Linked DNA regions of Arabidopsis thaliana. The protein of the gene in region 2 interacts with the protein of the main gene of each other region in a biochemical or structural test. Each region holds a gene or a part of one and is shown on either strand. Other genes may lie near its edges. The genes, in order: SCN1 and ARAC5.

The links.
Region 1: the proteins of ARAC5 (region 2) and SCN1 form a complex in vitro, tested with the Arabidopsis thaliana proteins (one study listed by BioGRID).

What each region holds. Positions count from the first base shown.
Region 1 is NC_003074.8:2,508,214-2,518,970, forward strand, and holds SCN1 (Immunoglobulin E-set superfamily protein), read left to right. Parts: upstream 1-5,711; 5' UTR 5,712-5,961; coding exon 5,962-6,195; intron 6,196-6,299; coding exon 6,300-6,366; intron 6,367-6,721; coding exon 6,722-6,940; intron 6,941-7,034; coding exon 7,035-7,159; intron 7,160-7,253; coding exon 7,254-7,331; 3' UTR 7,332-7,770; downstream 7,771-10,757. Other genes in the region: AT3G07860 (Ubiquitin-like superfamily protein), read left to right, coding at 1-76, 152-251, 345-443; AT3G07870 (F-box and associated interaction domains-containing protein), read left to right, coding at 2,658-3,911; AT3G07890 (Ypt/Rab-GAP domain of gyp1p superfamily protein), read right to left, coding at 8,426-8,566, 8,652-8,753, 8,841-8,918, 9,009-9,102, 9,186-9,364, 9,449-9,565, 10,080-10,571.
Region 2 is NC_003070.9:28,467,307-28,478,302, reverse strand, and holds ARAC5 (RAC-like GTP binding protein 5), read right to left. Parts: upstream 2,655-10,996; 5' UTR 2,340-2,654; coding exon 2,241-2,339; intron 1,873-2,240; coding exon 1,785-1,872; intron 1,698-1,784; coding exon 1,588-1,697; intron 1,476-1,587; coding exon 1,412-1,475; intron 1,330-1,411; coding exon 1,265-1,329; intron 1,187-1,264; coding exon 1,121-1,186; intron 1,025-1,120; coding exon 926-1,024; 3' UTR 501-925; downstream 1-500. Other genes in the region: VPS35B (VPS35 homolog B), read left to right, coding at 40-250; LCR67 (low-molecular-weight cysteine-rich 67), read right to left, coding at 5,549-5,727, 5,835-5,898. UniProt on the Arabidopsis thaliana protein: Involved in cell polarity control during the actin-dependent tip growth of root hairs, thus regulating root hair length and root hair initiation.

The DNA.
Region 1 (10,757 bases), on a different chromosome or scaffold from region 2:
AAGATCTGAAGCTTTTGATCAAGAAGAAAGTTAACGAAATGGAGCAAGCAAACATGGGTCATCGCCATATTTCTTGGTAAATAGCTTCTCTCAAGTAACATTTATGAATACAGTAAAATTGTTTAATAGAGGAGTTTTTGGGAATATGCAGGAAGCATGTATGGTCAAACTTCTGTCTTTCGTGTAATAATGAGAAGTTGCTTGACGATAATGCTGTTCTTCAGGATGTTGGAATCCGGAACAATTCTCAGGTTAAACACCTCTGTATAATCCAATCTCAATTAAGAGTTAATTGGGTTATGATTCAACTCTTTTGACATGTATGTTGTGTGTCATGAATACAGGTGACTTTCATGCCATATGTGATGAAGAAGGGTCGAGGAAGACACTCCAAGAGGAAGAAGCATCGTCTCTTTCGTTCTCTCCACAAGACTTCTTCTTGAAGCCTTTTTATAATTTGGTAACCAAAACCAGTCTCTCAGCTTTATTCACATGTTAGATAGCATTGGTAGGTTTGATTCGACTAAACTTAGGTATATCACTCAACACTTGAGCTAAGAACCCTGAGACATGGCAGGATATCAAATCATTATATACTTGTCAAGAATGACTTGGGGTTTTACTTAAGTATTGATCAAATGATTTGAGACATTAGGTCTGATATGTTTTCGAAACTAAGTTAAGATTCCCAGTGATGAACATTTTAGTAATCTGGAACGGTGATAAAATGGGGCTCCCTCTTGGATTATTTCCGTGGAGGTTTTAGAGGAACCATTGTTGAAGATACTTGGCAACTTCTGAGGGTCTCTTCGCAAAATGAAATCTGTTATTTTTCTTACTGTTTTGTTGGGATTCTGAAACATTGCACTACACGCTGATTTCACTTTTTTCCATTCATCATTGCTACTTTTGTTACTATCACAAGTGGTGAATTTTGATCAGGTTGGAGTGGACAAAGTCGTCTCAGCACGGATGAAATCAAAACTAACAGATTCCGTCTGTGGTTTATCCCACCTTGGAATACACCAGCAGCACAACACGCAGCAGCAACTACTTGTGAATTCTGTGATAGACTTGTGGGAGTTGGTTTATCACAAGTAGTCAGCTTAGGATTGATCTTTAATAGACTTGTGGGAGTTGGTTTAGCTATATTTGTATTCATCCGGTTCAGTGTATAAGCAGTAAAATTATTGGTGGCAATGTGAATAACAGAGCAGAAAACTGCTAATATTTTCATTATTAAATAAAACAGGAAACCGAAAGGAATTTGAGCTTCAATACATTTTTTTACTTTAGAAAATGTCTTGCAGCTGAAGAAGGTTTTGTAGCTGAGTCCCAACTATTCTTGTCCAGAGCGCAATGCCGACGTATGCGTGTTCTCAGCTATTGGTAATACAAAGGTTATTACTTTAACAAGTTTTAAATTTTGCAAGGGGCACGGTAATATCTCAAAGTCAACACATAAACAATAGACATCTCTTCTTAAATTGCTAACATAACATATATGATTTGAACATAGATGGGCCTACGAAAATGTCTTTGCTCCGATGCTAAATCATATAATTTACAGCCTAAAGTATTGGTATCTAGTGTTTGGAAAAACCAAAGTGGTGGGAAACTTGTGCACCTCTTACTAAAATGTTATTACTTTTTAGCTTTTGAAAGAACACACACGGCACAACTGCCCCCACCCACCATTTCTTTTAGTTTTTACATACTTAGATCTATTATCTATTGATTAAAAAGTCACTTGGCATCGATTTGATACATTAAAGTCTTGGAAATTTTCGATTCAAATCTATATGTTTGCGGTGTGCCATCATATCGTTAAAATGTAGACAAATAAATTTACTGTAATAAATGATCAAAGTATTTAGATTTTTTAATGATTGACAAAAAAAAAATTAGAATTTTTACTTATAAATCTCTTGATCCAAACTCTTCATCTAACTGATGTTTACACACTAATTATGACTGAAACCCATCAACACAAATAGAGACATATAGAGAAAAGTCTAATATGATCTACATTACAAACAAACAATGCAACTCTAATTAAGAAAAAGGCCTTTTGTTTTTCGAAAATAAAAAAAAGAACTGAACTAAAAATAAATTTGAAAGTGTACAAATTTATAAAACAGAAGGTAAAGAACTAAATATAGTTGTATACTATTAACGACCAAAAGTAATAATTAGATTTTAAACAACTTAGATTAAAAAAAAAAAAAAAAAAGTAAAAGGAAAGAGAGGACTTTTGCATGAGTTGGCAACTTCTTTTTTTTGTTTTTATTATTAAAGTCTTAAGAAAACTAATTATTTAATTAAATGTTGCTCTGTCATCATCACACTTTTTATTGTTTGGTTTTGTATTCTTCCCCCATTTTCTTTATTCTCTTTTGACAAATATGCAATTTCCAATCTCATCCTACGGTCTAGATCTCTCCAATCATCATCCTTCTTCTTCCAATATTCACTTTAAAATAAAAATAAAATTTAGAGATAATAATTTCCACGAAAGAATTATTATTATTATGTGATGCCTATTCAACGTACCCTCCCTTTTTTCCTCCATCATCTTCTTCTTCTTCTTCTTCTTCTTCTCCTCTCTCTCTCTCCATCTCGATATCAAAAACTCTTGCTTCTGATTCTCTTCATTCATGGCTTCAGAGAAGAGTTTCAAGAAGAGAAAGATCACCGATGATGTAGACGGAGTAGGAGTAGGAGGAGGACTAGAATCCCTTCCCGAAGATATCATCGCCGACATATTCTCTCGCCTACCAATCTCCTCCATAGCTCGGCTTATGTTCGTTTGCAGATCTTGGAGATCTGTTTTGACTCAACACGGTCGTCTCTCTTCTTCTTCTTCTTCCCCGACAAAGCCATGTCTTCTCCTTCACTGCGATTCGCCAATACGCAACGGTCTTCACTTCCTCGACCTATCAGAAGAAGAGAAACGCATCAAGACCAAGAAATTCACATTAAGATTCGCATCTTCCATGCCGGAGTTTGACGTGGTAGGCTCTTGTAACGGTTTGCTCTGTTTGTCTGATTCTCTCTACAACGATTCACTCTACCTTTACAATCCTTTTACTACAAACTCCTTAGAGCTTCCCGAATGTTCCAACAAGTACCACGACCAAGAACTTGTCTTCGGTTTTGGATTCCATGAGATGACAAAGGAATACAAAGTTTTGAAGATAGTTTACTTCAGAGGTAGTAGTAGTAACAATAACGGTATTTACAGAGGTCGTGGTAGAATCCAGTACAAGCAATCAGAGGTTCAGATCTTAACCTTGTCATCAAAAACAACAGATCAATCTTTGTCCTGGAGAAGCTTAGGCAAAGCTCCTTATAAGTTTGTGAAACGTTCATCGGAGGCTTTGGTCAACGGGAGGTTACATTTTGTGACAAGGCCTCGTAGGCACGTGCCGGATCGTAAGTTTGTATCATTTGATCTTGAAGATGAAGAGTTTAAAGAGATTCCTAAACCAGACTGTGGTGGTCTAAACCGGACCAACCATAGACTAGTGAACCTTAAAGGGTGTCTTTGCGCGGTCGTTTATGGTAACTATGGAAAATTAGACATATGGGTTATGAAGACTTATGGAGTCAAAGAATCATGGGGAAAAGAGTATAGCATTGGGACTTACTTGCCAAAGGGGCTAAAGCAAAATCTGGACCGACCAATGTGGATTTGGAAGAACGCTGAGAATGGTAAAGTGGTTCGGGTTTTATGTTTGTTGGAGAATGGAGAGATCTTGTTGGAGTATAAGAGTAGGGTTCTTGTGGCATATGATCCAAAATTGGGTAAATTTAAAGATCTTCTTTTCCATGGGTTGCCTAATTGGTTTCACACTGTTGTTCATGCTGGAACATTGTCTTGGTTTGATACACCCCTTGATTTATGGTAAAATAATTAAAGTTTTGAATTTTTATTACATTTAGAGTTTTGAGATTTGGGTACATCTTCTTGCCCCCTTTACATACCAACTAAGTACATTCTTTTGTACGTAATGGGTAGATTAAGGTGTATTTCTTTTCAAGTTCTTGTTTCGTTTCTGTTGAATTTATAGGTTCCTTTTCATGTCTTCGGTAAATGTAAATATAATTTCTAAGTGTTAGCGGTAAATGTTTCCGGTAATTTGGTTCTACACTATAAACTATTACTTATTGTTTGGGACTAACCCACGATCGTGCCATTTGATTTTATTGCTTTATTATTGTATGTTATTATGTTTTGACATGCTCGATCACCAAGCAATGCAGAAAAAAAAATAAAAAAATCTTGTAGAATATTCTTTAGATCTATAGAATTCATATAACAAGATATTAGATGACGACGATAAAGCAAACTTTAAAGATATATCATAAAAAAAAAAGAGGCTTTCGCAAATCACGCAAATCATATAGTTTTCACTAAAAAGAAAAATTTGTGTATTAATAACTAAACGATCTTCGATCTAAATATTAAACCCATGTGGAAAGATTCCCTATCGCCTGAAAATAAAATGAAAACTCTATTCATCGGAAGATCTAATCATAATAATATCTTACTAAATATATAAACATCTATATAAAACTTGAAGTATATGCATTTTTCGTGGTCTCGGAATTATAACATTTTTGTACATGATCATGATGGCGAACGTAATTGGGTCTATAAAGTTACAATGTGAACGACCAGAAATAATATCGACTGACTCGACAACTGCAAGGCCAAATGGCCGTTTATTCTAGGTTACCGCGATACCTCTGGAGTATACTGTATACGTTCTCTCTAAATTCTGGCTTTTTTTTGGGTGAATTTAAAATGGAATCACTTCACCAATATGTACATGGGTCAACTCCAAAACTGAAGACGACGAAGAGAAGCGGAAGACCGCAAGAATGCCAATCAACATCACAAATTGTTTATCGTCTTCTCTCTTCTCTTCCATTCCACTTATTTTCAGAATTTATCTTCAATATTTTCAAATTACATCAATAGAGTCATGTAGTGAAATAGATATGCCGTCCGGCACTATAATGCTAATTAGCAACAACTGTTTTATTTATTTTTCATGTCATGAGTTTGACTATCTTATTTCATGAATCTATAAAACGAATTAGGTTTTGGTACGGTGTCGTGTGGACAGTAACCTAATGCATGTTGACTAATATGGGATTAATTAATACATGTGTAACGTAGAAAATGCTTTCCCAAAAAAACTAGCATATGACTTTGGAAAGGCATTGTCAATACTTCTATAGCGTACATGACTTCGGAGTTTCGAGTCTATATAGGAAATAACACTAGTGAGAGAATTTGTTATGGAAAAAATCAGTGTGTGATGTTGAGATAGGAGTTAAAACAATCAAAAGTGACATAATCTATATAGACATAATCACGTGATTATAACTTTATAAGCAAAACGGGATAGGTTTTGCATGTCTAGGTAGCACCTATTGTTTGATTGGTGGCAATAAATTCCATATGTTTTAAAATTGAAACACAAAAAAAGGGGCAGAAGCATATGCCCTTGTTTGTCTCATGTTAGGTTGGATCCCAAAATCAGACCGGATAAAACCGGGATATATCATTAATGCAAGTAATAATGATTGAAGACGAGATTAGAGGACTAATTCCGTAATTACAAACAAATGATTTTATTGACAATTCAGTGATTATTAAAAATAAAAAACATAACAACATTAGTGGTCATTGTCGTTGTCGTGGCTCGAGGCTATCGTCTCTCCTATGCGCGTGGAAGAAATAGCAATTATGCTTTCTTTTGTATTTGATTATTATCCGTTAGTGACCCTCACGATCTCTTTCTCTCTCATATAACTCGGATCACCACATGACTTGATCTTCTTGCCGTTACCAAAACCAAAATCCCTAAATTTGCCCTCATTTCCCTCTGATTAGATCCCTTACCCCGACAAAGACACCAAAATTCTTGAGGGCGAGAGAGCTGATTGATGTCTTTGGTATCTGGAGCCAGGGACATGGGGTTCGACGACAACAACAACAACAAGAACAACAAGGATGGAGATGATGAGAACTCCTCCTCCAGAACAAGAGCCGACGACGATGCTCTTAGTCGACAGATGAGCGAATCTTCTCTTTGTGCTACCGAGGAGGAAGAAGACGACGATTCCAAATTGCAATTGGGTCCTCAGTACACTATCAAAGAACATCTCGAGAAGGACAAGGTTTCTCCTTTTTGCTTCTTCTTCTTCTTCCTTCCACCCTATTTATTTGAATTACATTGTCAGATATTTGAAGAATTTGTTGTCGTTGAATCTGGGTCATGTAGGATGATGAGAGTCTGAGGAAATGGAAGGAACAGCTTCTCGGAAGTGTTGATGTCACCAACATTGGAGGTGTGTTTGTGTGTACCTCTTTGTTTCAATGATTATTTATGTTTTGATAATAAATGAGAAATTTTTAATCTTGGGAAATGATTTTGGCCATATTTGAGACCCTTGTTAGATCATACTAGTTGTTTCGTTTGATATATGATTCATGTGAGAGTATTTTTGATCTCTGGTTGGGCTTTGTTTACCTTCGAATGTATACAATTTTCTTTCCCATGATTCCGGAATTTGGTGTCTATGTTTATTTCTTTGCTTGATTTTCCATTTTTCTGAGTGCTACTGTAGAGATATCAACTTAAGATTGGAACATGTGTTTTTTGCATTTATGCATTTGTCACCTTATATCTCTTTTGATACGCAGAGACTCTTGATCCGGAAGTGAGGATTGATAGCCTCGCCATCATATCTCCTGGAAGACCCGACATTGTTCTCTTGGTTCCTGAGAATGGAAATCCAAAGGGCATGTGGTTTACTTTGAAAGAAGGGAGCAAGTACAACTTGAAATTCACTTTTCATGTTAACAACAACATTGTCTCTGGTCTTAGGTACACCAATACAGTTTGGAAGACCGGTGTCAAAGGTAAAACAATAGACCACAAGTTTGTTTTTAATTAATTGGTCCTCTCGATGGTTGAGAGACAATGTGATCCAATTCCTTTCTTTAATGGCTACAGTGGACAGAGCTAAGGAAATGCTTGGAACCTTTAGTCCTCAGTTGGAGCCATACAACCACGTGATGCCAGAAGAGACCACTCCTTCTGGCATGTTTGCTCGAGGATCATATTCTGCAAGAACTAAGGTTGGTTGTTGGTTTATGAACTTCATAATCTAGTTCTGTAATATTCAGTTCTTTGGTGTTGGTTTTAAAAAGTTACTCGACAATCTTGTTTCAGTTTCTTGATGATGATAATAAGTGCTACTTGGAGATCAACTACAGCTTTGACATCCGTAAAGAATGGCCTGCGCTTTGAAACTCGGAGAATGCGAGAGTTGTCTCCTGAGAGAGGATGTTGTCGGTAGAAGAAAGTTGTGTTTGTTTCACTCCATATCTCCGTTTATTTCGTTGAACATATAATTGTGAATCGTTTTCTGATCATCTTAGAACAAGAACGACATTTACTTCCTACATCCTTGATCTTGATTTTTCCAGTAATGTCGTTGGAAATCAGTATGTCTGTGTTTGTTCTCAACTCTGTTTCTCCTTCCACGTTAACATGTGTTTGATGATATGATTGTGTCAGATTCTGACATGTATAATGATTCTCAGTCCAGCTGAAAGTTAAAAAAAGAAGAAGGTTTTGCTTCACAGAAAATGCAGAGCCTTTCTTTATTCATAGATTTTATATGCCTTTAAAGAGAAGCCAACTATTTTTGAACGCATCTTACGACACCACCAAGTCTTTTTTGCTAATTCTAACCACTTTTAACAATTTTGATAAACCGTTAGTTATTTTTCTTTAACCGCCTCGTGTAAACATGATCACCATTCACCAATGGGGTTTGAATAAAGTGAAACGCGATCCTTGATACAACGTCGCTCTCATATGGTTGTGTGCATTTGTATGATTTTTATTGTGTTTTGGTTATTTAAATTTAGATTATGGAATTCATGGAGACTTCAAATTTGAACTTCCAATAGATTCCAAGTTTTTGTTTTTCTATGTTTATATAATGCCAAGTTCTTATCATCTTATCAACTTCTTTTAAGAATTCTATAAACTTTTTGTTTTGGAAAAATAGTATTGAGAAGAACAGTTGACAATTCATACTACAAACCAAACATTGATCTATAAAAACATGAAGATCACAATTGATATATGAAGAGGGGTAAAAAATGCAAAAGGCAAGTGACACCTCTTGGAATGTGAAGAAACTTGACATTTCCCATCTCAGAAATGGATCTTGGTTAATGTTTTGCTCTCAAAATAAACTTAAAAAATCCTATTTATATATACTTAGAAAAAAAGGAAAAAAAAAAAAAAACATCAAGAGGGATAAATAAACCATTGTTGGACTCCCTCGTTTGCACTTTTTGGCTCATCTTCTCCCAACAGTTCTTTTTTATTTATGTGCTCTTCCCACTTTCTTTAAGAGAGTTAAGTCTCCGAAGTCTCTGGTCAAGTTCTGCCATCACTGCTGGTTCCTGCTTCTTCCTCTGCTTTGATATCGTGTTGGTAGTCATTGATCCGATTTTCTCAAATGCCACCTGAAAACATTTGTTGATCGATAGTCAAGATTACGAAACTCGAATATATAAACTCGGTTTTCAGACTAGGGCAGGCATGGCTTACCGTTAATAATTCATCCGGGTCAAAAAGCTGGTGTGAAGTTTTCTGTAATATGTTGATAACATCGCCGACCTGGTGGGTCATAAGCAGCTCGTTCTCTTTCATCTGCAAATGACGAGAGATCCTTGAGATGAGATTCATCCAAGAAGAACAATTATGGAAAAGGCTGATCAGAGGAAGAGAAGTAAGAACCTTGAATATTGCTAAAGCTGCATGGAATAGAACCTTCGCTCCTTCATAGAAAAGTACATCCCACACCCTTAGAGTTGTCTGCAAACAAAACCAAAGTTCTCAGTATACATAAGAAAAGTAATCTTAAAAGACATATAATTGGACAAAAGGGTTTGTTTTTCTAAACACCTCTGAAGGAAGGCTTTTAGAGAAGAGGCATAGAAACCATTCAGTGGCTACAAGGGAAACATCAAAGCCCATATCTTCAAGATGAGTAGCTATTCTGCAAAAACAACAAAACATAACAAGAAATTGATAAGCTGGTGAAGCTCAGCGACAAGAACCAACGAAGAAAGAGAGACTTACCGAGAACATTTTTGGGCAAGCAAATCTTTGAAAACCCGCTGCTCAACATGACATCCAGATAAGTTGGTTGTGTAACAATCACGGACTAATACGTTTTCCAAAAGGACCGCTAGCATCCAGAATGCGTCTTCTTCTGTCTTCATGACAAGTAATAGTAACGCTGCAACGTAGTTTAGACCCTGTAACAAAAAACGACATTGATTAAGATACAAACTAATTTGAAATTGAGAAAATGGAGATGGGAAAAAAGGACAGGCATGTACCTGACAATAGCCAACATCTGAATCACGAAAGGAATACCCAACAAGCACACGTCGTAGAGCAGCATGACCTTCTGGAGTGTCCAACCATGGATGGCCTGGGAAAGTACGTGGCAGATCCTGCAAGAATAGACACACAATGTCAAGGGCAAATGATGAGAAGATCCGAGGAAGTTGCAGTATAAGATAATGGAATCAACAAATCTTGAATGACCATCAATCAAAGCAGACGAAAGGCTCTGCTATAAGTTGCCTCAACACAAGACTCAAGAACGGATCTAGAACAATCCTAAAACAAAGAATCAATGAAAAGCTAAAATTGCTCCTTAAATCACACAAATTACTTGCTCAGAGACACAATTTCAAGATCCAGGGGATGAAATCAAGTATTCATAGCACATAACATTATGAAGTAGCCTCCTATGACCATCATACAACACAGTAGAATAAGAGAAAGGGTTTTCAAAAGTAGGCTCTTAGTTGCAAACAGAGCACAAGGATCAACAACAGATCTACACCAACCCTTACACAAAGGATCAACGAAATTCAACCCTGAAAATACTAAGATTTGTGAAGAACATCAAACCCAATCAAAAAGGAAAAATTGAGCCTTTGGATTATAAATCAAACTCACATGATCAATCTGCCTCGTAGCCGGCGTGACCATCCCTTCGACGGCTTTGGTCAAATCACTATAATAACTCTCTGGGACGGTGGATTTCTTCTTAGCAGCACCAGAAAGAGAAAACCAAACCTTAGGTCTAAGCACAGGAGGGATCCCTTTCCGAATCAATCTCTTCAACGTAATCGCATTAGTCAAAGTGGAGAGCTTGAGAGAAGTTTTCAAAGCGATACCGTCACCGATCAAGAGAATCTCCGGCTGAAGATACCAATTAGCTCCTTTGCTAGCTTCAAGAGCCCACCAAACTCGTCCTTGATTCCTGACTTTCTCTCTAACCTCGTTCAACACATTAACGTCGTCGACATTTCCTTCCACCGTGAACCCGTACAAGTCCTGGAATTTAACGACGATGTTGGCTCGTCTTGCGTGGATGCTTGGACGGAGAATCGGAATCTGAGATTGTAGCTCCATCGTTAAATCACGTCTGCTTTGGATCCCAAACATCCTCCGAATTTCAAATCCCTTGTCTGAATCTCTCTAATTGTTGTTGTTGTCTTGTCGGAATATTTTTCGTCAATTTCAGACCAAGCACGAACACGGACACCGTCAAAAAAGAGTACTCGGCTGCTACAAAAAAAAAAATGAAGTAGTTGTTTGATATCTCTTGAATTTAAATAAAAAAGGAGTTTA
Region 2 (10,996 bases):
GCATCTCAATACTAAAAATGTTTTTTTCATATACAACAGGTACATTTACTTCTTTGAGAAAGGGAATCCACATATCACTCCATCTGATATACAGAGCCTCATAGAATTGATCAACAATGAGATGCAAAGCGACAACGGTAACACGACAATCCACTCAGATCCCTTCTTTACAAGTACATTGCGTTACATTAAGTTCATAAAACAGAAAGGTGGTTTGATGGGTGAGAAATATGACCCTATCAAGCTGTGACTTAAATCCGAGACACAAGCCTCATCAAATCCCGAGAGGAATTCTCTGTATTTTCCAAAGAAATGTTGGAAACTCTGAAAAGGAAGTGTACACTACACATGTTTGTTTTCTTTTCGGTCTTATTACAAAATGGAGAAAACCTTTGTAATTGTTATTTTCTTTGTTCCTTATACTCACCTCACCTGTGTGTATAGAATCCTCGTTTCTGTAAACCATTCTTTGAAACTATGCCTCAATTCAACGATGTCTCTAATCTTATTGTATATAGAGATCTATCTCAAGATGTTCTTCGTTGTCTGAATCTAATTACATACCAATACAAGACCATAAGATCAACGGAAGCTTAAAAAAAGTCACTAAAAAATTAATTAAGATTTCTGTTAAAGAAAATACAAAATGGACCCCAACAGCAAAAACAAAGACAACATAGTATTAAGAGATTAGTCTACATAGCAAAAGTACAACAACAACAACAACACACCAAGAAAAGAACACATCCCCTTCTCTTACCCAGAATCCTCCTCTTGGCCTCAGTTCACTCATTAGATTCACCAGCAAAAAGAAGAGTAAAGACCGAAACAAGCCGGATTCAACAACTATACAATGTTGCAGGTGTTCGTTTTCCTTCAGCTTCTTTTGTTACCTAAACCTTTTTTCGTTTTAAGAGATGTTCGATCACAAGAACACGCAGCGGTTCTTGTTCTTTTTCTTCTTCTTCTGTTTCGGTGGCTGAAGCACCACTTTTATGGCTGCGTCAAAGACTGCTTTCACATTCTGCAAAACCCAACAATCAACATTTTCACTGTCTTACCAAATACAAAAATCCCAAACAAAAAGACATGTGAGATATTATTTATGTGTGTAGTATACCTGCTGAGTCTTTGAACTACATTCAATGTAGATTGGTGATCCTATCAGTTTCTTTAGTTCCTCTCCCTGCAGACAAACAACTAAAGATCAAGAACTCGCAAAGCAAAAAACACTATTGTTTTAAAGAATTGTGGAGTTATGTACCTGGTTTGTAGTAATAGGCACTGCACCAGGATGGTCTATGAAGAATTGCTTGTCATCTCGAAGATCTGCAAATTCCAAAACTTGAATTATTATTCATCTCTTTCTTATTATAAGGAAAGAGTTTTTAGACAAGAAGAGAGTCAATACCGAGTTTCGTTCCAACGAGGATTATAGGAACACCAGGGGCATAATGCCTAAGCTCAGGAATCCACTGAAATAAAGAAAAAAAAAAAAAAAAAAGCAAATGAAGGAACCAATTCAAAATCAGCTTAACGAAAGTTATTACTATCAAATGAAAGACGTTAGATCAACAAAAAGCTAACCTTCTTGGCTACATTCTCGTAGCTAGCTTTGCTAATAAGCGAGAATGCAAGAATGAAGACATCGGCACCACGGTAACTCAACGGTCTTAACCTGTTATAGTCTTCTTGACCTGCACAAACCCAAGAATTATCAGTCAAAATGAAACCACAAAAAAACAAGAAAACCAGATTTGATGAGTTTCAAAAGGATTATTTACCAGCTGTATCCCACAATCCAAGATTCACCGTGTTCCCATCTACAACCACATTAGCACTGAAGTTGTCGAAAACAGTTGGAACATAGTCCTGATATTCAGTAACCAAGTCATAGAGTTTGTTAAACTAAAACACACACAATAGTGGATCATCATTAACACACACAATAATGGAAAAGATTATAGATCCTCATATCTGCAAATTTGACTAATACATACAAATTGAACATGAAGTCCAAAATGAAAGAAGAACAATGCTCATAGGTAAAGATAAATAACAAAGAAGCTAAATCCATGGAAGCATCAATAAAAGTTCTGAAGAAACATGTCAAGAATTGATTTTTACAATTTTTACCAGCTAATCAATCACATTCAAGAACAAAGATGAATAATCTCCAAAAACCCATTTTCAAAGAATGCTTCAAGATCACTACTGAGAGCAAAAGGAAGAAACTTTACCGTAGGGAAAGTGTTGCTTGTGTAAGAAATCAGCATACAAGTTTTTCCGACGGCACCATCGCCGACGGTGACACACTTTATAAACCTCGAAGCACTCATCTCCGCAGCAAATTCACAAACTCAAAAAAAGAACCCTTTTGCACTTCTTCTTCCTCAAATCCCAGCCATTCCCAAGAATCAAGAAACAATCTTTTCTAACTCAAGAAAAAACCCTAATCCCGAATCGTAGTAGAACACGGGTAAATTCAAAAGTAGCAAGCCAAATCGATGAGAGATAATAATGGCAAAAGAATGAGGAAAATCTTTGCTTTTTCTTTAATTTGCAATGTGTTTTGGGCCGTTGATGATTCTGAGATGAGCTTTTCAATACCAACCTTATGCCAGCTATTTGCTACACCAAACAACACCTTATCATTTACACTCACCCCACTTTAGTATTTCTTTTAAATAATACTAATTTTGAGCACTTTTAATTTTGAATTTGAATACAAATTGAGAAATTATCCGTTGTAATGAGTTTTTTTTTTTCTTTTCCTTTTCTGTATAGTAGAAATATCTTTTTACATTATGAAATTACTATCTGTTTTATGAGATTAGCTAAACTACCACCAAAATAAAAACCTAATTCACTAATAAACATGGATTTTTTTTTTAATTTTCTTTTAACAAAAACTAATGTTTTCTAATTTGACCATAGTTGTTAACCTAATTGACAATTATAAAAAAAAAAGACAGCAAATAAATAAAGATTATAATTTTTAAGAAAAAAAACTAAGAGTAAAGCATAATAAACGACCAAACTATGGGGAGGGAGGGCATGAAATTGCCAAATATTAATCATTGGATTGGGACGACTCTCGTCAAGAACGTGCGACTTAGTGTTACGGCACCATTTCATTCCTTTTTCTCAAATCCCTTATCAAATTAATATGGTTTAATTTTGTCAAGAGTGTCTTTGTCTTTGTTTTTATAGTTGTAATTTTAAAGAGTTTTCTTCATCTTTACGACATAAGAATCGAAAAATCTTACACGAACGTGCTCAACTCTCTTTCAACCTACCAATGAGCATACGACACATCATGAATTGTCCCACATTAGATTTATCCAAATCATACGGTCGCATTATTACAGTTTGCTTCTAAAGGACCAAGGACACATCAAAATTTCACCAATTATATTTATATGAACTAATATTCAATCATACCAAACTAAAGAAGGGGTTAGAGTTAGCTCTACGCTTCTACCTACTCTCAACCAAAAACACCTTTACCCATTCATTCTGATTCTTACATGAAATGAATTTCAGGCTTTATGATTTTTTTTATAAGAAATTTGATAATGATTGATCATGAAATCTAGTGCTTCTATTTAAAGCGACTTATTTGAAAATGAATAAACTTTACATTAGTGATTCAAGTGACAATATGGAGTGCCATAAGGGCCATAACACAAAGGCACAAACACACTAACACAACTGGAAGCTAGAAAAGACAATAACACGAAGGCTCACACTTGAGGCCCAGTAGCGAATTAAGGCCCATTATGACAACTCTTGAAATATCATGATTAGTGACCATTTTTGCCACCAGGGCCCATGGGGTACTTGGTTTGGTGAGACTCCAAATGAATTGACTGCCTAGTGCATGCTTATCCACGAAACAAGAGTTTTTACTTGTTTATTTTGGAATGTAGTAATTCATCTGTCATAGAAGAAGAGTAAAATATGTTATGTTTTAAAACATTATCCAATTTTTTTTTATTTTTTTGTTGCGTAATTAGTATATAGATAAGATGTAGTAGACTAAAGTTTGTCGGTTTCTCAGTCATTCAACATTTGTTAAAGCTTTAAAGGCATAGTGCTAAAGTTTGACAAGTGGAAACAGTCTCCATAATAGATGGCGCACATAGTTAATTGTGTCTAACAATGGCTGCGGTCGACTGATGGCCCATAGTTTGACAAGTACAAACAGTCTCCATAACAGATTTGCCTCTGTCTTTAAGCAAATCGACAGGAGCACATTAATTAGAGACACTCTCCTGGCTCGAAGGTACCGCAAAGGCCGCGGTGACTGCTCTCTCAATGGTTTTCCCATGCCTAGCTCGTAATAGTTCTCTATTTGTAATCTTTGCGTTTATTAGTTTCTGAGGCTTTTTAAAAAACAAATTGTCTTAGAAGCTATTTGTCCCAAAGATTTTTGCAAGTAACAATGTTTCCATTTTGGTAATTAATCACATTTCAAAAAAAAAAAAAAACTCACATTTTATCAAAAAAAGAAGAAAAATTGTGTCTAACAAAAACATATGCATTGCTTAGTACTGAAAATTTAAAACATGGTTGAGACTTGAGACATTGGGCCCATATATGCAATATAGAGCCATACGGTAATACATTTATGAGAGATTTTTACGACTTTTCTGAATCAACCTCGAACTATAAATTATAAAACAGTCACATGTTATTCTAGTTAGACTTCAAGTAGTGAGAAATTCAGTAAAAAGAACAGTCAAACCCACAAATTTCTGTTACATTATTTAACAATGAAAACACACAAATATCTGTTGTAATAGAGTAATAAGTAAGCAAGCATACGTACAGTGTGATACACAGTACAAATCTAACATCAGATACTAGCTTGAGATAATTTAATATTAATATGGGTGCAGGAAATTTTTGCCACGCTGGTTCAAACTCCATAGAAGTAACAGTTTTGTTTATATTAACATAATTTACAAATCTTGGAATTGGGATATCTATAGATATTTTTTGAATAACCACATAACTAGCTGATCAGCATGAACATTCTAGATATCAGTCTTGTAAATTGACATAATTTTGGTGGAAACATACATTTGGTATTCTTCTCCGAAACCGCCTGTTTTTTACATTGTAGCCGAGCCTAAGTACAATAAATAAAAATTCAAAGATGTCAACACAAGACCTCGTTTTTTAAAGTTGAATTAGCTAGGTAAATCTCTTTGGTATATAATTAAGTCGGAGATTGTGTTATGTAGCTAGCTCTCTTTTATGTATAAGCTGAATACTCTTTATTATAAGCAGTTTTTATGAAATACTATAACATATTCCTCCGATTCTCTATTTTCAAATAATCGTTTGTGTTGTGTTGGAGTTTTGCAGACAAATATGGACAAGAAGAAACAGTAGTATACGTCGTACGTAAAAGTTTATCTTATTAAAACAAAGCAACATAACATATCTGGTACATGTCATAAGACCTCTCATAGAGTGACACATACTTATTTAATAGAAATACACACTTTATAATTAAGCATTAAGAGCTCTTGGTAGATTAACATGGGAAGTAGCAGATACATTTGTGAGCTGGGAAGACATAGTTGCAAGATCCATGTCGTGCTTTCTCAAGGTTAATGCACTGATTCTTGCACGCGTTACTGTTTCCGCAAACTCCGGACCATGTCCCACTTGGCCTCTCGCACAACTTCTGTGCTTCCACCACCATCGGTGCTTCTGCATATAGATATATCTCTCACAGTTAATTATCACAATAAAATGAAAGAAAAAAGGTTAAAACTCAATTTTCCATGCATATGGTATACGATAACATCATTACTCACCAAGAGCAGCAAAGAAAACAAGAGCAGCGAAGAAAAGAGTAACGATGGTAGCAGACTTAGCCATGACTATTGTTTATACTTAGTTGTTTTCGATGTATATATGTTTTAGTTTGAAGAAATCTGCTTGAAATCAACCACTATTTATAGTGAAAAAATGATGGGGAGGTCGACTTTTACGTGTGCATGGGACAATAAAGCGTTCAACCCTATAAATAAAAAAATACACACCGTCTGATAGTAGAGAATACTAACATGCAAGTATTCATCTAATGATAGAAGATAATATCTTGACCAATTCATAAAAAGTGTGCTGATCGTGATCGGTGGCGAGTTTTCAGGTGCTACGTTTGTTCATTTGCAATTTCATTGGACCGGTGGCTACTACATTAACTGTTAACATCTCTGGCTGGTTAATTTGACTTGGTCAAAATTTTAAATATGTTGAGCATATCCTAGTACGGTACTCAAGTGGTACTTTGTCTCGACCACATCGCATTTAATAATAAACCATGAAGTTGGGTAGTATTTTTTTATCGACTTTTATTATTTTTTACTGAAACCTCCAAGGAGCTACTTCACTAGCTGGCAAGTTGATAAATTAGGTTATTTCTTCACTTTCTTTGGTATTGATTATATAATCATCAAACTAATTAGGATCTAAACATGTAATTAAATATTAGCAACATAGTGGATTTGGACTAACAAATTTGTAAAATAGCGCATAGATTATATTTAATTTCGTAGTTCCCACCTCAACTCCCACACAAAACTTCTTGGATTCAACTCTGCCATTTTCGGACGACCGAGAAGATAAATCCGATTTAATTTTATTTATTTAACTTATTGTTTTAAGGTAAAAAAAAATTTTTAAGAAAAACTGAAAGAAAATTCGTTTTCGATTTCATAGCCGTCATCCGCAAACTTTGACAAAGACTTGTCTCCTCTTTAAACATTTTCTGTATCAACAGCCACGTACCTTCAAGCCCTTCTAAGACAGCACCAGCACTAGCCGTGCATGGACAAGACAAGTAACAAACTCAGAATAGTACACCACCCAAGTTAATTTGTTAGGTTATTATTAAGAATAGAAAGAGAAGTTAACATTGTTAGATATGAATTATATTTGGTTAGATTAAGAATGCTTAACTTAGGGAAGGCTGCTTCTCTGTTTAATGTAACTTAACTATTTAAGTGGCTGCTTTGGCTTTTGAGTCAAGTGTTACATTGCCTATAAGAAGTGGGCTTATTTTGAATACACACACAATTAAGGGATCAATTATGGGATTAGCATATTAAAGTCTGTGCTTTTGTAGATATAGGAACATCTCATGTTCCTTACAAATTTAGATACTTTTATATTATATGGATGACTGTTTTATCCTTCAATCTAATTGAGTTTCTTCTCCTTGTACCTTCAATCTAATTGAGGAGAATTCATCAATATCAATCGATCTCAGAAATGTGCGATTATTTCTCTCTCTTTCTCTTTCTCTAATGGCATGGAATCTATTGCCTCTAAACTCACCATTGATGTCCATTGCTTCTCCATCACCTTACAAAATTCAGATCTATGCCTGGCCAATCTTCTTCCTCGACGATGCAGGTGGTAATCCTCCATAGCTTTTTTGAATTTGAATTGTTTGATCTGAATTAATTTCATCCTCTCTTTCTTCAATTTCAAAGAGGGATAAGAAATAATTGAAAATTTTAATCGATTCCAATTATTTAAGATTAGTATATTTGGGTTCGTTATATAATATTTTCTTAGGGGTTAGCTTTCTTCCATCAAAAAGCTTTTAACTGATTTTATTGGGGTTTATCTGAATTGGATGGTGATGAAATGTTATTAACAGATTTTCTAATTTTTGTCTCTATCGATTTTGTTTCCGTAAATACATCTTTTGTGTATATATTGTCTTGTAGAAAGAAACATTGATTAAGTAGAGAAATAGGATAATCAATCTCTGTACTTAATACATCATCCATTGAAACAAGTTAGGAATCGATCCAATATGAGGCTCTGCAAAAACAATTCAGGAAAAGATTCTGCAAAAACAATTTAGGAGAATGAGTGAAATCGCAGGGGCAATTTCGTCAATTTATTTCCCAAAAACTGCCTATCTTCATAAACTCAATCATAATGTGCTCTTTCTCTAATTTATGGCCCAAAATGTACCCAATATTATAAAAGCCCCCACAATTAAGCACCAAAGAGTTTTGGTACATTAACTTGGGAGGAAACAGAGACACTTGTTAACTGGTAAGGCAACATTTCAAATTCCATATCTTGTTCTCTCAAGTCCAATGCATTTATCCTTGCACGCTTGATTGTTTAAACCATTTAGATTAATGGGTTGGCATTGGTCACGCTGATCCAATGTTTCAAATGGGTAAGTGAATGTTGATTGCCGACGTGACTGAAGACCCAAGGCCCAACGACCTACTGGTCCAGGTTGACTATGAACAAAAGAACTAGATTTTTTTTTCCCCTACATTTTAAAGAAAATACTTGATGAAGATGTGGTGCCTTTTCATAAGATCTAAAAAGTTTCAAATCTTTACGATGGAACAAAAAGTGAAAGGTGAAGTAAGGGTCATTTGGGATTGAGAAGTTTCTTCGTCCAAAATCATTGCATGAGTTGAATAGATTTGGGATTAAAGCTGCCAATACAAGAGGATTCGGTAATGACTGAAGCAAAAGCCCAGCAGGGCCATTAGGCAAACACCAGTTTCCAAGACGGATTTGTGTAAGACCACTTATGACACAAGTTTGTCTTCACTATCATCATCTTCTTCTTCTACTTCTACTACTACTTTTGTAGCCTTGTCGTTTTTATCATTAACATGATTGACAAGACTATGACCTATATATCTTATTATTATCATTGCTCTCTCTATTTGTTTATATTGATTATTACTTTTTGAGATTTTTCAATGGTTTTATCTCTAACTAAACATTATAATTAGTGAAACAAGCTTAGTAGAAGTAAAAGTATTATTCTATGCTAAAGTACATTGATTAGTAGAGTGTGTAATTGTGTATACAGATAATCTATAAACAATTGGTGCATCTGTATATAAAACTTTATGATTTATTTATTGTATTTAATAAGTATATGAATTGGGTACCTAACTTTCTAAACAGTTCCAAATTTATTCTTAAATCAAATTGCATATGATTTTTAAATATTTTGAGACGATTTTATTATAACGCAAACAACAGAGTAAAAGAAGCATATGTTGCAAATTGTACTATGGCAAGTTCAAATCGAAACATTTTTGTGAAAATCAAACATGTGAACCAAGCTTCTACAGTTTAATTCCCTTTCGTATAATTTAATTTCAACAAATTTATTGATATCCATCTAGAAATTGGTCCAAAGTTCTTTCACCCTTGAGTCATTTAGTGATAAAGATGACATGATTTTTGGTGATAAATTTTCCATCGTTGCTATATGTCGTTATATTATTCTCCTATATGTATATTATACTATTTACATCAGAAAATAATCCAAAGTTTAGAGATTCTTTTTTACAATAATAAAATTTCCCACTTACTAAAAAGAGCTCCTTTTCTGCTGAAGAGAACCTAAACCTTTATTCCCAAAGTTCATTGAGTTAGAGCATTTTCAGCGAATCACATAAGAGATGCTCTCTTCTTCATCACTAATTGACATCTCATTGTTTTAAAGGTTGCACTTGTACCTGTTGATCTGATTCTCAATCCACTTAAGTTAAACCAAATAGACACGAGAAAAAAGCACATTTATTTGTTGCTAAGTATGCATATTTTTCAGCGTTTACTTCTTAATCTAATGTATATCATAAGATAATATCTAAAAGAGAATGCACAAAAGATTATTAATATGAGAAATTCGCTGCCATTTAGGAAGGACCTTTATACCAATATACCGCAATAATAATAGAACATTGGTCCCCAAGTGTATGTCAACCCCAAGTGTATAGATTTCTTTAAAGATTAAAATCCCTTTTTGTTGCTAAAGCACCTGATATATTTTTCTATCAAACTAAAAAAATTGTTAGCGGGATGAAGATATATTCGCCAAGAACCATAGTGCTTGTATAACGGCAGACCATTAATTCACAACTATTATTATTTTATTGTTAGATTGTTGATAGAATCGATTTTGATTGTGGCAGAATCGATCTTGTAAAAACTGCTTTAAGGTGCTTACTTATAATTAAGAAAGATTCACTTATGTAAGTTAAGCATATTAATCATATCATTCGGCCTAATTCATTAGGAATATTTTGCTATTCGTTTTGCCATCATTAACAACAAAATTGACACGTTTTCAGCCAAAAGTATTAACAACTAAACCTAAAACTTCAAACATTAAATAGTTTTTAGTATCTTTAGTTTCAAACTAGTGATTTGTCCTAATATCAACACTACGAACGAATTTATATACATTGAACTTTTTTCTGAATCACCGATTACAAAACGAATATAATTTGGTATCGGCAGTTGCTATTAATTTGATCGGTTTGGACTTTGGACTAATCACGATCAAATCTTAAATGGACCGAAGTGAATAAATCCCTAATGTTTTCAAGAGAGTCACACGAACGAAACAAAGGTAAAATATGAACATAGAGCGTGGGGACCTTGAAGCAGAAGGTCTGTATGGTGACAGACCGGTGAGTGGAGTGTATGAATGAACGAGAAGTGAGAAGACAAAATACAAGAAAGAGCGTTGACTTGGAAGTTAAAGCCAAAAAAACCACAAGGGGCAAATTTGTCTCTTTAGGAAAAGGACACAGACAGACTTTCTATACGGGCCAATTAGAAAAATAGGCCCTACTTCTAATTAAAGCCCATTTACTTCTCTCCTTGTCTTCTTATTCCTCTTTTCTCCCCATCACGTGACGACGATGCTATAAACGCCGTCGGATTATATAACTGGTGCCGTTGACAAGACGGCGACAGAAGAAAGAAAGAAGAAACCACAGGCTCTAGGGAACGTAACGTTATGTCCTGTCTATAGCATTTATAACGGTCAGATCAACGCCGTTTAGATAAAGATCTGTCAATGTTAAAGAAGAGATGCATCTCTACACCGTTAAATTTAAAACGCCGTGAACCTCTTATCTATTGATTTTTGTTTGATGAAGCCAAAACAAATCGTGTCAGAAGACTT